Linked DNA regions of Callithrix jacchus. The protein of the gene in region 3 interacts with the protein of the main gene of each other region in a pairwise test. Links are inferred from orthologs where the notes say so. Each region holds a gene or a part of one and is shown on either strand. Other genes may lie near its edges.

Region 1 (4,156 bases), on a different chromosome or scaffold from region 3:
CTCACGTTTTTGACTTTTACAGTCCCTGTCACTGTTCGCTCTTGCAAAGAGCAGTTCTCCAGACAGACAAAGTTCTTCTGAAAGTGGTTCCGGAAACTTAGGTAATCAGTTGAAGGCTGAGGGAAATCTAAAATCAAGTTTTTCTCCTCATGGAGTTTTAAGCCAGAGGAGATATCATTAAGGTCCAAGAGATCAAACTGGAGATCCCATGCTGGTTCTTCTGGGATGTCAGAGAAGACATGGATCGCGGTGAGAGAGAGGCCCTTGGAGTCAGCAAACACAACGCGCTTCTTGGCTTGGTTGTGCGAGCACTTCCAGTCGTTCTGTGATTTGGCTTCCTGTTTTATGTTGAGACATGGTTTCAGAGGCTTTAATTTATTCACAAAATGTCTTTGTTGAAAGTCATTGTAAGGGCCCAGGAAACTCTTCACGGGCGGTGAATGAGCCAAGCAAAGCCTCATAGCCACATCCACTGGCATGACTGAACTTGTCAAAGGACGTGGATCTAAAACCTGGATCATTCTGGAATGCAAAGGGAAGGGGGATTATCACCTGGATCGGAAGTGCTCTTCCCCAGTGCCAAATGCATATGTACTATTTTTGTGCTGAATGACAGCCAGTGCACTAGTATCAGGCAGGTGCTGTCATATGTAGTAAAAGAGAACAGTATTAAGTGATCAGATCTTCTTTCTATGGTTACCTTTACCTTTGGCTGGCTAAAGGCTGACTAAGTGTTAATTGCTTAAAACACTTAGAGGGGAATGGGGTCTCAGTTTCCCCATCTGAGAAATAAAAGTGTTCTATTTGATGATCTCCAAGGCAGTCTTAAGAATCATGTGCTCTGTTCTGGAGCACATGATTGTGTGGTCCTCAAACCTGTCTGGTCACCATGCCTAGGGAAGTTCCCTCCTCCTTCCCTCCCTCCCTCCCTCCCTCCCTCTTTCCCTCCTTCCCTCCTTCCTTCCTTCCTTTTCCTGGGACTTCATGCCTCAGGGAATCCCTTCCTCCCTTCCTTCCCTCCCTCCTTCCTTTTCCTGGGACTTCATGCCTAGGGAATTCCTTCCTTTCCTTCCTTCTTTCTATCCTTATCCTGGGACTTAGAACCACTGAAGCAGAACTTCTGGGGCTAGGGCCAAGGGATGCACATGTTCTTAAAGCTTCCCAGGTGATTCTAATAACCAGACAAGTTCAGGAGCCACAGTTCCAGACCCTCTGCTCCCTCTGGATGCTTTGGTTTATTTTGCTGCTAAATTGATTGACACTTCTCTGGTAATTCACTTGAAAAAAATAAAATTAACATGCAACAGTTTTGACAGTGAGAAGGCTAGAGAAGCCGAAGAATTCTCTTTGCATTTTATCATGCTCTTCCTCATTTTTCACAAATAACCACTGAAATACAAGTCAACAATTCATGCACTTAAAAACTGTGTGTAATTGATAGTTCACCTAAAGAGATGCCCATGACAATTCCACATTTAAGTGGAAAAACTGATTACCTGAAAGTTGGAGTGTTTTAAGATATACAATATATATATATGAACTTGTAAATATTGAAAAACTCTATAGGAAATATGTCTTTCCTAATAATATAATAATTATTATCTCTGGGTGATAGGATTATAGATGATCTATTTTCATTTTTGTTCTTTTTTGGTATTTTCTAATAGGCATTTATAAGTAGAAAGACAATAAAGCTATTTAAACTTTTAAAGATGAACATGCTCAACAATATTAAACCAAGAAGCATTCATAAAGAAGACTTTTTTTCTGGCCTTTAGTCCTCATTAGATATTTCCAAGCTTATGGCATTAGGATTTTCCCCCCATCTTAGCCTTACACGTAAGAGGTGTGTGTATACTGTACATGACATTTCTCAATCTGGCTTTAGTAACTCTCCTCACAGCAGCTCTAAACATGTATGCAAGTGGTCATTATCACAAAAATGAGTAATAAAGAACACTCACAGAATTTACTGTATTAGCTCTGGGGTTTTTTTGGGAGACTTGCAAACTTAGAACAAACAAATGAAAGCTAAAGCTATATTTGTGGGTCTAATAATAGTTAATAGGCAGGATTTTTAGAGAAGTCTTCTGCTAAGCTATGTCTGGAGAAGCTATTTAAAGTATTTTATGGGAGGTTTTTTTTTCTCTTTGACTTTTTGCATTTATAGAAGGACAGTTTTAGTATTGGGTGATTTCCCTGGAACTTTAAGTCCTGGACAAGAGTTAAAAATAATTGCTCAAACTCTTGAGATTTTGCTATGGCAAACTGTGATAAGAAGGATGAATGACTACAAACATCGTCCTGTAAATTTTTTCCTCCAAGCTAAACCACCTAACCAGCAATGTCAGAGTGCTGTTCTCGCCACTTTAGCTGCCCGAGTCTTTGGCACATTTGTGCAGGACCAAAAGAACAGCCGCATCCCTGAGAAAATCCGAACCCAAGCTGATTCACGTTAAGGTCATTTCTGCTTTAATTTGCTTATTTCTAAAATAGGCTCTTCTTAAGAAATAGAGCCAAGTTTCTATACCTCCAAGGCCTCTCTGTTGCCAGATTCAACTAAGCAGTCAGCCCACTTGTCCTCCCCTGGGGTGTCCCTTTCCAGAGATGACAGAACTGAAACGCCCTTCAACTTCCCCACAACTGCGCGTCCCCTTGTGTTCCCGGCGCGCAGAGTTGCAGCGAACCTACCTGGTGCAGCTCATTAGGCAGAGAGGCGCAGCGGACCGTGAAAGCCAGCACCCACTGCCTGCACAAATTTCAACCCCAGCTACCTGCCTTGCCCCGCGGCGATCGCTGGGACGGAATGAAGGCCGGGCGCTGAGACGGCACTTATCCGCTCCGAAGCACGTGACCCGATCCCTGGGACCAATCGCCGGGCCTCGGACCCCGTGGCGCGACCAACCAGCGCCCAGCTAGGGCACGGGCCCTCGGCCCGGGAACGTGATCGCCCCCGGGCCGGACGTGCAGAGCGCGAGCTGGGCGTCCCGGGAAGGTTCGGGGACTCCCGGGCCAGCTGGACCCAACCGCGGAACGGGAACCCTGGGCCAGGGGCCGGACAGGCACGTACCGCATGCAGCGGGCGCGGGCCAGGAGAGAGCGCAGCCAGCTCGCCCAGGAGGGGCGCCAGTGCCTCAGGCTTGGGGCGGCTGTTACTCGCGAATGGCTTTGTAGGTCAGTGCAGTTGAATCTACACACAGAAGATGTGGCTCAGTCCGAATGTGTATGTATCGCATTTGAAATGTTTATGTTGTTCATTGCCCGCTGTATCCGCGTTTCTCCCTCACCTTAGCCTGAGCGACCCCAAACTGGTTGCATGCTTTTGGTTAGGATGAGTTCACAGATGCACCCCACAGTAGACAGCTGCCAAGAATTACCAACTTATCTAACAAATGTCGTTAGGAAAGCATACGAGCCCCAGAAAACACAGAGGTGGAATTAATTAAAAGACACTTTGTATTTCTGTCTATTCTATTTTCTCCCCTGAGAGGGACACTAAAGCCGAAAGTGAAATGACCCTTTTCACCCATAGAGCCTGTCAGAGGCAGCAGTCAACCCAAACCCCTCACTCAATTCTGAGGTCCTCTGGGAGTGGCATGGAAATCAAAATGTTAAAATACAATTTTAAAAAGCACGCTGTATGTTTCATGAGTCCTCTGAGTCAGTCACTTTCGCTAAGGTTTCATTATTTTGCTCAGTTTGGGGATTTTTTTTAGATCATCATCTACAACCGTAAAATTAAATGTCTATCTAAGTCAAGTCTAAATTATTCCCATGTCCTAGTTCTGCTTTACTGAGATATCCATTAGTCAATTAAAATATACAAAAATTCCTATGTCTTTTAAACAACTGTCAAACAGTGGAATTGTTAAAGTGGAGTTATTAGAGTGAAGAAAAAAAAGATCACACTGAATATCATTGGGAAAGGCACTTCATGCCTGGGTTTTATTTGTGAAATGTCTAACTCATGGCAGGTCTTCAAGCCCCCTTAGCTCAACCAAAACTAGCTGGAAGGTCTTTGGATTGACACTAGCTACATAAATGTAGGCAAGTTCTAACCTCAATTTCTTCATGTGGTGCCAATGAACAGACTCAGCATAATACCCAGCTCTTGTGTTCAACCCTGGCTAGCTCCCAAGTTTCTACTTGATCTCTC
Region 2 (4,414 bases), on a different chromosome or scaffold from region 3:
ATCAAAAGATAACAAAGAAAGCGATCCCAGTTCTTTGAACTAGACAAGCACAAAGGTTGCAATTATCAAAACCAAATTGGTAAAGGGCAAAATGTGTCCTTTCGGTATTGATTTGACAGATGCCAACAAGCATTCAAAAGTTTAGAATTAATTCCCTGGTGACAGTATCATAAAATTGATCACACTGGTTTCAACTGTATCACAAACACACTTCACAAACTGGAGATCTGATCCTTCTTGGCTTTTTTTTTTTTCACACCTTAGTTCTAGCACCTGTAATCAGAGAGACCACTGTTCAGCACCAAAAGAACCATCAGCCTGGAGTTCTTTGGAGTTTTAAGCGATTGCCTAACCCAGGAGGGCACAGTGGTCTTGACTTCTTGGCTGAAGGTTTAAAACAAAAAAGAATTTAATATTTTAAAACTGACAAATCTAGAACATGTTAGAAACCCTATTTGAAGGCACAAAGTATAAAGTTTGTGGGTACCTGATAAAACATGACATATGTAAATACAGCTCCAAACAATTTACAAGTATAAATATTTATCAATTATTTTTCTCTAGTGCTCTGGCTATTGCTGAAAACACCTTCTAGTTCCACCTTCTAACTGGATTCCCAAAAGATAAATACTGACATCCTCTGATGCTTAACAAGAAATAAAAAGAGTCACCTTAATGGTCAAAAAGGTAATCACCTTAATGGTCAAAAAGGGCACTGTTGCCTAAAATTCTCTAGTCACCTGAAAATTGAAAAAACGAAGGCAAGACTTCTTAAAACGTTTAGGAAGTTTCAGACTTAAACAGAATGGCCTGAACAGAGAAATACATGAAATCAGAATTGTGACTGCAGAGAAAGAACTGTTTTGCTAGTTTAAGTTTGAAGCTTTTCCCCTCCTCCCCAGCTGTTAACCTAAGAGACACACAGCCCCACCAGGGCTGTCTCAGTGCCCAGGAATGGTTGTGTGATGACTGATAATTTCTTGCCTATTAATAGTTTCCCACTGTTAGAAGGCTACAGCCCATTGGCAAGCAGATGTGGTCTCAGGTTTTCCTTGTCGTGGGGCAGGAATGCCTGGAGGGACCATGATGTGGGTCACACTGTACATTGTTTACTGTGGGCACAAACACACAACAGACCTTTTTTTTAGCTTATTAAATCGAGAATATTCCTGAGGAGGCATTCGCTATGAGCTAAAGGTCCCAACATCACAATAATAAATAACAGCTATGTTTACAGAGACACATTCAGGACACATGCAAAAGCTCTTCCTAGCAGGAGGGGGCCTTTCCAAAACAAGCTGCTTGGGCCTCCCCAGAGGGCCCACCCTCCCATGCACCTACCCCACCACCGTGCCCCAACTCATTACACAAGTCAACTCGGCCTTCCGGCCACCTGAGGCTGCTTTTTAGACCAAGTGACTCAGACATTTCAAGCAGAAGACAGGATGGGCCTCTGCCGGGGGACCTCGCAGCAGAAAATGAGGTCAGAGAACTTGCAGGGTGGCGAAGAACAACCAGATAGATGTGAGGGCCCAGCAGGGAAATGAATGACAGCAGGCGTTGCTTAAGTGTGGAGGCTCCAGGCTGTGGCCCCGCGCGGCTCAGATGAAGTGGATCCAGCTCCCTTCACACTCCCCGCGAGGCATGTGCAGCGCGTGGTTGCGACACGTGAGGCTGTAGTCTTGGCCACCGTTGTTGTCCCAGTACTCGGCACCAGCCACTTGGTAGCGCACAGCGAAGTGCACGAGGGAGCCGAGCTCCAGCAGGAAGGGAGGCACCGGGAAGCCGAAGGTGAAGACGTCCTCTGCGCCCTCAGTCCCCGCGGGCCCGCGCCACCTCGCCACCGCCTCGTGGGTGCTGCGCCAGCCCGAGAAAGTGTAGCGCACCGCCACCTGCTTCTCGAAGGCCACGTTGCACACGCGCACCGTACCGCTGATGCCAAGGTCCGAGCAAGTGACACGCTCCAGGCACACCAGCTGCCGCCGCAGGCGCTCGCCAAAGTCGGCGGCCTCGACGGGCGGCGGGAAATCGGGCACCAGACACTGCAGGGTGAACTCCAGGTCTTGGCTGCTGCAGCACAGGTCCGAGTTGATGGCAAGCCGCGACAGCACGTGCAGCGGCACCGACGGGTCGTCTCCCGCGTTGAACACCTTCACCTGCGCCAGCTCCAAGCCCAGGGCGTCAGCGAAGCGCACGCGGAGCTGCCGGCTGCAGCCCGGCCGACACCCAGCGCCCGGCGCGCCCGCGGCCTTCTGTCGGCGCTCGGGGGAGCTGGGCAGCGAGCGCGCTCGCCGCAGGATGATGGGCCGCAGGCGGGGGTCGCAGCCCGACGGCGCCGGCGTGGGTGGCGGCGCGCGGCCCGGGCTCCCCGGGGGCCTACAGTGCGGCGGCTCCAGAGCCACGTTGCTGTCCAGGTCCGACAGGCAGCTGAGGCTCCGGGGGGCGAGCTTCCGGGATCCCAGGGCGCTCGGCAGAACTGCGGAGCTCGGGCCTCTGGACATGGCCCCGCCGGCCGTCGGAAGATGGGGAGACAGGGATGAGGGGATGCCTCCCGACCCCGCGACAGCTCCCTCCGTGCTCAGAAGCCGCCGAGAGTCCGCCGTGTCTGCAACCTACGGGGGACCGCTGGGGCCCGGCGCGCCCTACTCTTGTTCGCCACCTTGCCCCTGGAGTCCTCGCCCGGGTCCTCCGCTTCTTGCAGTTTAAGAAATTTTAAGAGACGAGCTCTTCTCTAGTGGAAGCTTTCAGAAGCCTCCCGGGAACTCAGGGTAGCGCCTCTTTTTTTCTTTCTTTCTTTTTTTTTTTTTTTTTCTTGCTTCCTTGGAGGTTCTTACGAGAAGGCTGCGTTCTGGGAGCGGCCCCTCCCACTTTCCCGGTCGGTGGCGTTACTTACGAGGCTGCAACTCGACCGGGTGCAACTTCCCAGAGAGCCTCCGCCCCGCCCCTCGTGACGCCACCTGCAGGCGGGCCCCCGCCAGCCCGGGCCGGGCCTGAGAGCTCCGTGGAGCTGCGCGCCGCCGCCTCCAGCTCCACTGCCGCAGCGCGCCGCAGCCAGGCCTCGCCGCGCGGGTGCCGGAGACGAAGGAAGGCTGGGAGCCTCGTCACGTGTGCGCTGCAGTCGCGAAACAGGTCTGATCAATGTCTGTTTACGTCTGCCTGGACCGCGCGCCTATCGATCCCAGACCCTGTCTGCACAAACGGAGGACAAGGAAAATGCATGCTGCGTGTCCTTAGATTTCTGGGTTGTGGCGTGGGGAGCGGGGGTGCAAACACCGGCATTGCCAGCAGCTGGCCCCGGGCTAATTGTAAACGTCGCGGCTAGCCCACACTTTGGACGGGTTCACTGCAACCTAGACCCTTGGCCAGACCGCGGGAGCGTCGCTGCGTGGAGGAGCAGCCTCCTGTCCGCATCACCCACAATGCTTTGCCGCCCCGAAAGGCCCACAGATTCCCCGCAGGGTGGGGACTTGAGGCGCTGCTGTTGTCTTCCTGGACCCAACGCCGGAGAGGAAGACGGGCAACCAGAGTTAATACCCGGTGATGACTTCCGCAGCTGCCCTTAATCAGCCTCTGGCGCTTGGGGAACAGATTTGTAGACAGAGTCTCCGACTTTCAGCTTTGTTTCCAAGCAAGCCGGAAACACCAGCGAGGCCTGGAGCTCGTTTTCTGCATCCTTAGAACCCTGCAAGCCTTCGTGTCTCTCACCGGGTAGCTCTGAGCACAAAACCCCACACAGACTTTGGTGTAAATCTTAACCAGGTGAAATGAGTGAGAAAGATCCAGGTCCACTTTCCAGAGAGCAGTTTGGGGCCAAGCATTCCACTGAGAAGGTTCCTTTTTCCTGTCCAGAGGGACAAAGCAGAAAGAAAAAAGGACTAAGGAAGGGGGTTATATTAAAGAACATTTTCTACATCTAAAATGAGTCAAGCTTGTTGATTGTGGTATAATTCATTAAATGTGAGAGAGTGATTTTATTTATCATCGGATGTGAGCTAACTAAAAAGGCTTACATGGTTATTGTGGAAAAAATACAGGAAAGTTTCAGGAAGAAAATATCTATAGTCACATCTCTTTTATGTTACAGAGACAGGTGATATGGGAAAGAGAAATATCCAATTTCCATTCAGCGCACTTTTAACAGGCCGCTCAAAATGGGAGGGGAATAACAGATATCTGTGGTATGGGTCAACAGTATTTCACAAAGAGAGAATAAGTAATATGTATGAATATATGGAAAATCTTGTAATGGATTGATGCGATAGAGAAGGCAGAAAAATTGAGTGGGAAGGTCTCTCTTAGAGTTTAAGCTCCTTCAGAGCAGGGACGTGCATCATCGCTGCCATTATGGACACTCCTATAAACATTTGTTGAATGAATGAATGATTGGGCAACGCAATGATTGAATGCTGTAATA
Region 3 (3,634 bases):
ACATGGCAAAGAGTTTCAGTTCAACAGGAAAGCGCTGTCATGGATCCATCATGCAACACATGCAGTGCTGTTAATCAAAGGCCTCTCCGCCTGCAGGCAGCAGAAACTGCATGCATTACACTTCTGTCTGACGCACAGCCTAACTGCTTCAGGCTTCTTCTCGTGTGTCAGTCACAGCTTTCTTGTACACTATTTCAAAGACACAGCCCCAAAACAAAGCATCATCGAAAGCCATCCCCCGGTGGACGTGGTTGGCTTGGGGGAAGTCACACAGTCCTTTCCGTTCAGGTAGAATCCTCGTTTCTAGGTCATTTGAGCAACATCACCCCAGGCTCCTCAGGGAAATCAGGAGGCAGCAGAAGCAGGCTGACCAGCTACAGGCTACAAAGGGAGGAATGAACCTTCCCAAATTTCTGGAAAAAATCTTCTTGTGCCCGGGCCAAGGCCTCTTCATCAATGTAGACGGCCGGCCTCTTGGCCAGGAGGAAATACTGCACCTTCCTCAGATTCCAGCCCATCACGTACTGGAGCCAGCCGCAGACGGCTGCAGTGGAGCGGCCCACCCCGGCGTTGCAGTGCACGTACACGGTGTGTCCGTTCTCCAGCAGCGCATGCAGCAGGCACACCGCTTGGGGCAGCATCTGCACTCGGCCTGCGGTGGGGAAAGCAGAGCACAGCACACATGTGAATAATGAAACCTCCAGATACCGCTGCTGAGATCTCCTCCAGCTCAGCCTCACATCACAGGACTGCACAGAGCAAGGCAGGGATACAAGAGTTTGCTTTCTCCCTTCATTGTGAAGGAAAAGGCGAGGCCACCTTAAAACCTGATAATAGAAAAGTGGAAAGGGCACTCCAGAGGCGAGAGGCCCTCTCTAATCCTTCTCTCAGTATTGCTGCTTCTTTGAGTGACTTCACCATCGATGCAAATACCTCCCAAAGAAAAGTGACCTATCTCCTGTCTTCAGAATGCACTTTCACATCAAAAGTGTTTGCAGAGATTGGTCAGAGTTTTCGTGGATTAAAAAAAAAAATCAGTTGTCAGATCTGACCACCTGAATTTCAGGGAATCCAAAAGTATCTTCCAGTTAAATGCAAAACACAGAAGTGGCTCATATTAGTTAAAGGAATCAATCTGCTCATTCAACATATGCTCATTTTCATTTGTTCAACGGAATGGCTAACATTGTTCGATACAGATGGGAGAACCAATTGTTCATTTATTCCCTCGAGATACAATGAATTCTAAAACTGATTTAATTTCCATGTTTTTGGGGAATTCTATAATTCTATAATTTGGGGTTTATAGCTATTATTGCTTCATGGTTACTATTTTGATGACGAGATTATTCAAATGTCTTCTCATCAGGCCGGGAGAGGATGCACTGTGCCCTGCTGAGGCCTGGTAGACTCTGCTTGCTCTTTCATGCTGTAGGACAGAGGTGCGTCCCATAATCATTTCTTTGAACTCATGGATGCCTTAAGTTTCTTCTGCTCACAGGTTCTCAGTACAGAGGTATTTTGTAAGTTGGGTTTGTTTGTTTTCAGGGGGCAGTCAATGTAAATTATTTCAAAGGGAAAGGAAGAGGGAAGTGAATCCTGGGTTAAGCTCCATGCTTATAACTTGGCATTCTCTAGCTACAGGAACACCATGGCCCCAAAGGATCCTCTGATAGTCACAAATAAGAACCCTGTGTGCCCTTCAGGTCGGCATCCTCATTGGATGACCAAAGAGGTGGGAACACCCCTCCCTCAAAAGATTTCACCTGGGGATCTGCGGTGAGGCCTAGAACTCCCCATGACAGCCATTACTGTAAGTTTAGACTTCCCTCTTTAGATGTCCTTTGTTGAAATGCAAGGACCCTGAAGGAGCCAGTATAACACACTGTGATCAGGCATCAGCACCTGAGAAGGACAGAGTTTACCAAGGACCACAACGTGGCTTGAAGGTCCCTCAGTGGCCATTCCACTCAGCCAAGCATCTACCTCAGCTTCAGGCTCAGCAAGCTCTGAGAAGGAGCAGAGTCCACATGGAAGCCAGGATAACAATCTAAAGCTCCCTGCTGTGGCTGCCTCTCCAGATACTATGTCCCTTGGCAGGAAACAAAGAAGCATCATTTAATGTATATTCAGGTATTCCTCAGGATGCCCAGTATGTGAATAGACCACAGTGGTCATCTGCAGTAGGAGCTGCTGGACACAGAGCCCCAGCCCCTGTCACTCAGCTCAAACAGCATCAGTGTAACCTGCCTGCAAACAAGATCTTCCCTGGTCCCAGTCTTTATGCTACAGCTCTGTTAATCCCCCTAGTGAAGAGATCTAAGACTGCTGCCTCCACACAGCCATTTAGAAACGTTGTACCTGGAATGTCTTCAGGTAGGGAGGGCTCAGGCTACTTGTGCTCCTTCCTTCTCTAGCCCTGTTGCCATATACTGGTGTTCCCTGCCTGGTTCCCGACGGCATTTGTATTAGAAAGTCACCAGCTTCTATGTATATCTGATGCCTCATAGTCCAAACAGAACCATAAACTTTAATCCATCTAAACCTCCACGCCTGGTTCCGGGGCACTCTGAGATTAAAGCCAGGTGGGCCTGCCACTTAGTTATTCATGGTGCCCTCCTAGAGGCACTGAAACATCACTGGAGATGCAACAGGATGGTGAGAGGATCCTGTGTGCCAGCGAGATGTCTCACAGCATAGCTCACGGAGAGCACAGCATGGCAGAGCCACCATTTGCGCTGGGGGATCAGAGGAGCAAAACCTCCAATGTACGGTGGATCAGCTCTGCTGAGAAGAGACAGGCCTGCTCCACTGTGGGGCTTCTACTCTGCTGAGGGTATGAGAGCTTCACTCCAGGGAAAGCTGGGTGGGAGGGAACTCTGCTGCTGGAGCTGGAAGAATGGGTTCTTCCTGCTCCAGCCATAGCTAGAGTCATGTGACAAGCTCCCTGCTATGGCTGCCTCTCCAGATACTATGTCCCTTGGTAGGAGACAAAGAAGAATCATTTAACATAGGTTCAGGTATTCCTCAGATGCCCAGTATGTGAATAGACCAGTGGTCATCTGCAGTAGGAGCTGCTGGACTCAGAGTCCCAGCCCCTGGCATTCGGCACATACTGCGTCAGTGTAACCAGCCTGCAAACAAGATCCTCCCTGGTCCTAGTCAAGATCCCTTCCCCAGACCAGCTCTCTGGCCAGAGGTTCCCCTAGGGTGGGTCTGCACCAAATAGCACACATGATGCAATACCTTCCCCTTTTCATTTTATCTGTAAAAGGTTTTTCAAGAGGGGTGTACACAGTCTAGAAGTTACAAAGGAAGTTTGTTAGTTTGAGGTTCTGTGATCTCAGACACATACTCCTGAAAGGTACATGTCAGCTAACACAGAGAAATTCCCAAGGCACCCAGCTTCACACAGATTTCAGCATCAGGGCACAGCCATTTATGATCTTCTCCCAGAATCACTCAACCACTGCACTGAATTGTTATCAAATATTAAAACAACATAAAGAACAAATAAATAATTAAGAAGGGCACCAGAGCAGTAGCCAGTCCAAGGGGTCCACTCATTTCAGCCTGGTCTCAGCTGGAGGCGGGGTTGATTTAGATCTCTTGTGATTGCAAATCCCCCCCTCCC

Evidence for each region.
Region 1: the proteins of EPM2A (region 3) and PPP1R3C interact in binary tests that used the Homo sapiens proteins (3 or more experiments, as listed by UniProt). The link is inferred for Callithrix jacchus from reciprocal best matches to the Homo sapiens genes EPM2A and PPP1R3C.
Region 2: the proteins of EPM2A (region 3) and PPP1R3D interact in a two-hybrid assay, tested with the Homo sapiens proteins (2 studies listed by BioGRID, with this or other methods). The link is inferred for Callithrix jacchus from reciprocal best matches to the Homo sapiens genes EPM2A and PPP1R3D.

Annotation. Positions count from the first base shown.
Region 1 is NC_133513.1:84,419,300-84,423,455, forward strand, and holds the start of PPP1R3C (protein phosphatase 1 regulatory subunit 3C), read right to left. Parts: upstream 2,809-4,156; 5' UTR 2,706-2,808; coding exon 2,692-2,705; intron 523-2,691; coding exon 1-522. Other genes in the region: uncharacterized protein LOC144578709, read left to right, coding at 3,074-3,223.
Region 2 is NC_133506.1:55,555,989-55,560,402, forward strand, and holds the start of PPP1R3D (protein phosphatase 1 regulatory subunit 3D), read right to left. Parts: upstream 2,894-4,414; 5' UTR 2,502-2,893; coding exon 1,602-2,501; 3' UTR 1-1,601. UniProt on the Homo sapiens protein: Seems to act as a glycogen-targeting subunit for PP1. PP1 is essential for cell division, and participates in the regulation of glycogen metabolism, muscle contractility and protein synthesis.
Region 3 is NC_133505.1:152,429,013-152,432,646, forward strand, and holds part of EPM2A (laforin), read right to left. Parts: intron 653-3,634; coding exon 375-652; 3' UTR 1-374. UniProt on the Homo sapiens protein: Plays an important role in preventing glycogen hyperphosphorylation and the formation of insoluble aggregates, via its activity as glycogen phosphatase, and by promoting the ubiquitination of proteins involved in glycogen metabolism via its interaction with the E3 ubiquitin ligase NHLRC1/malin.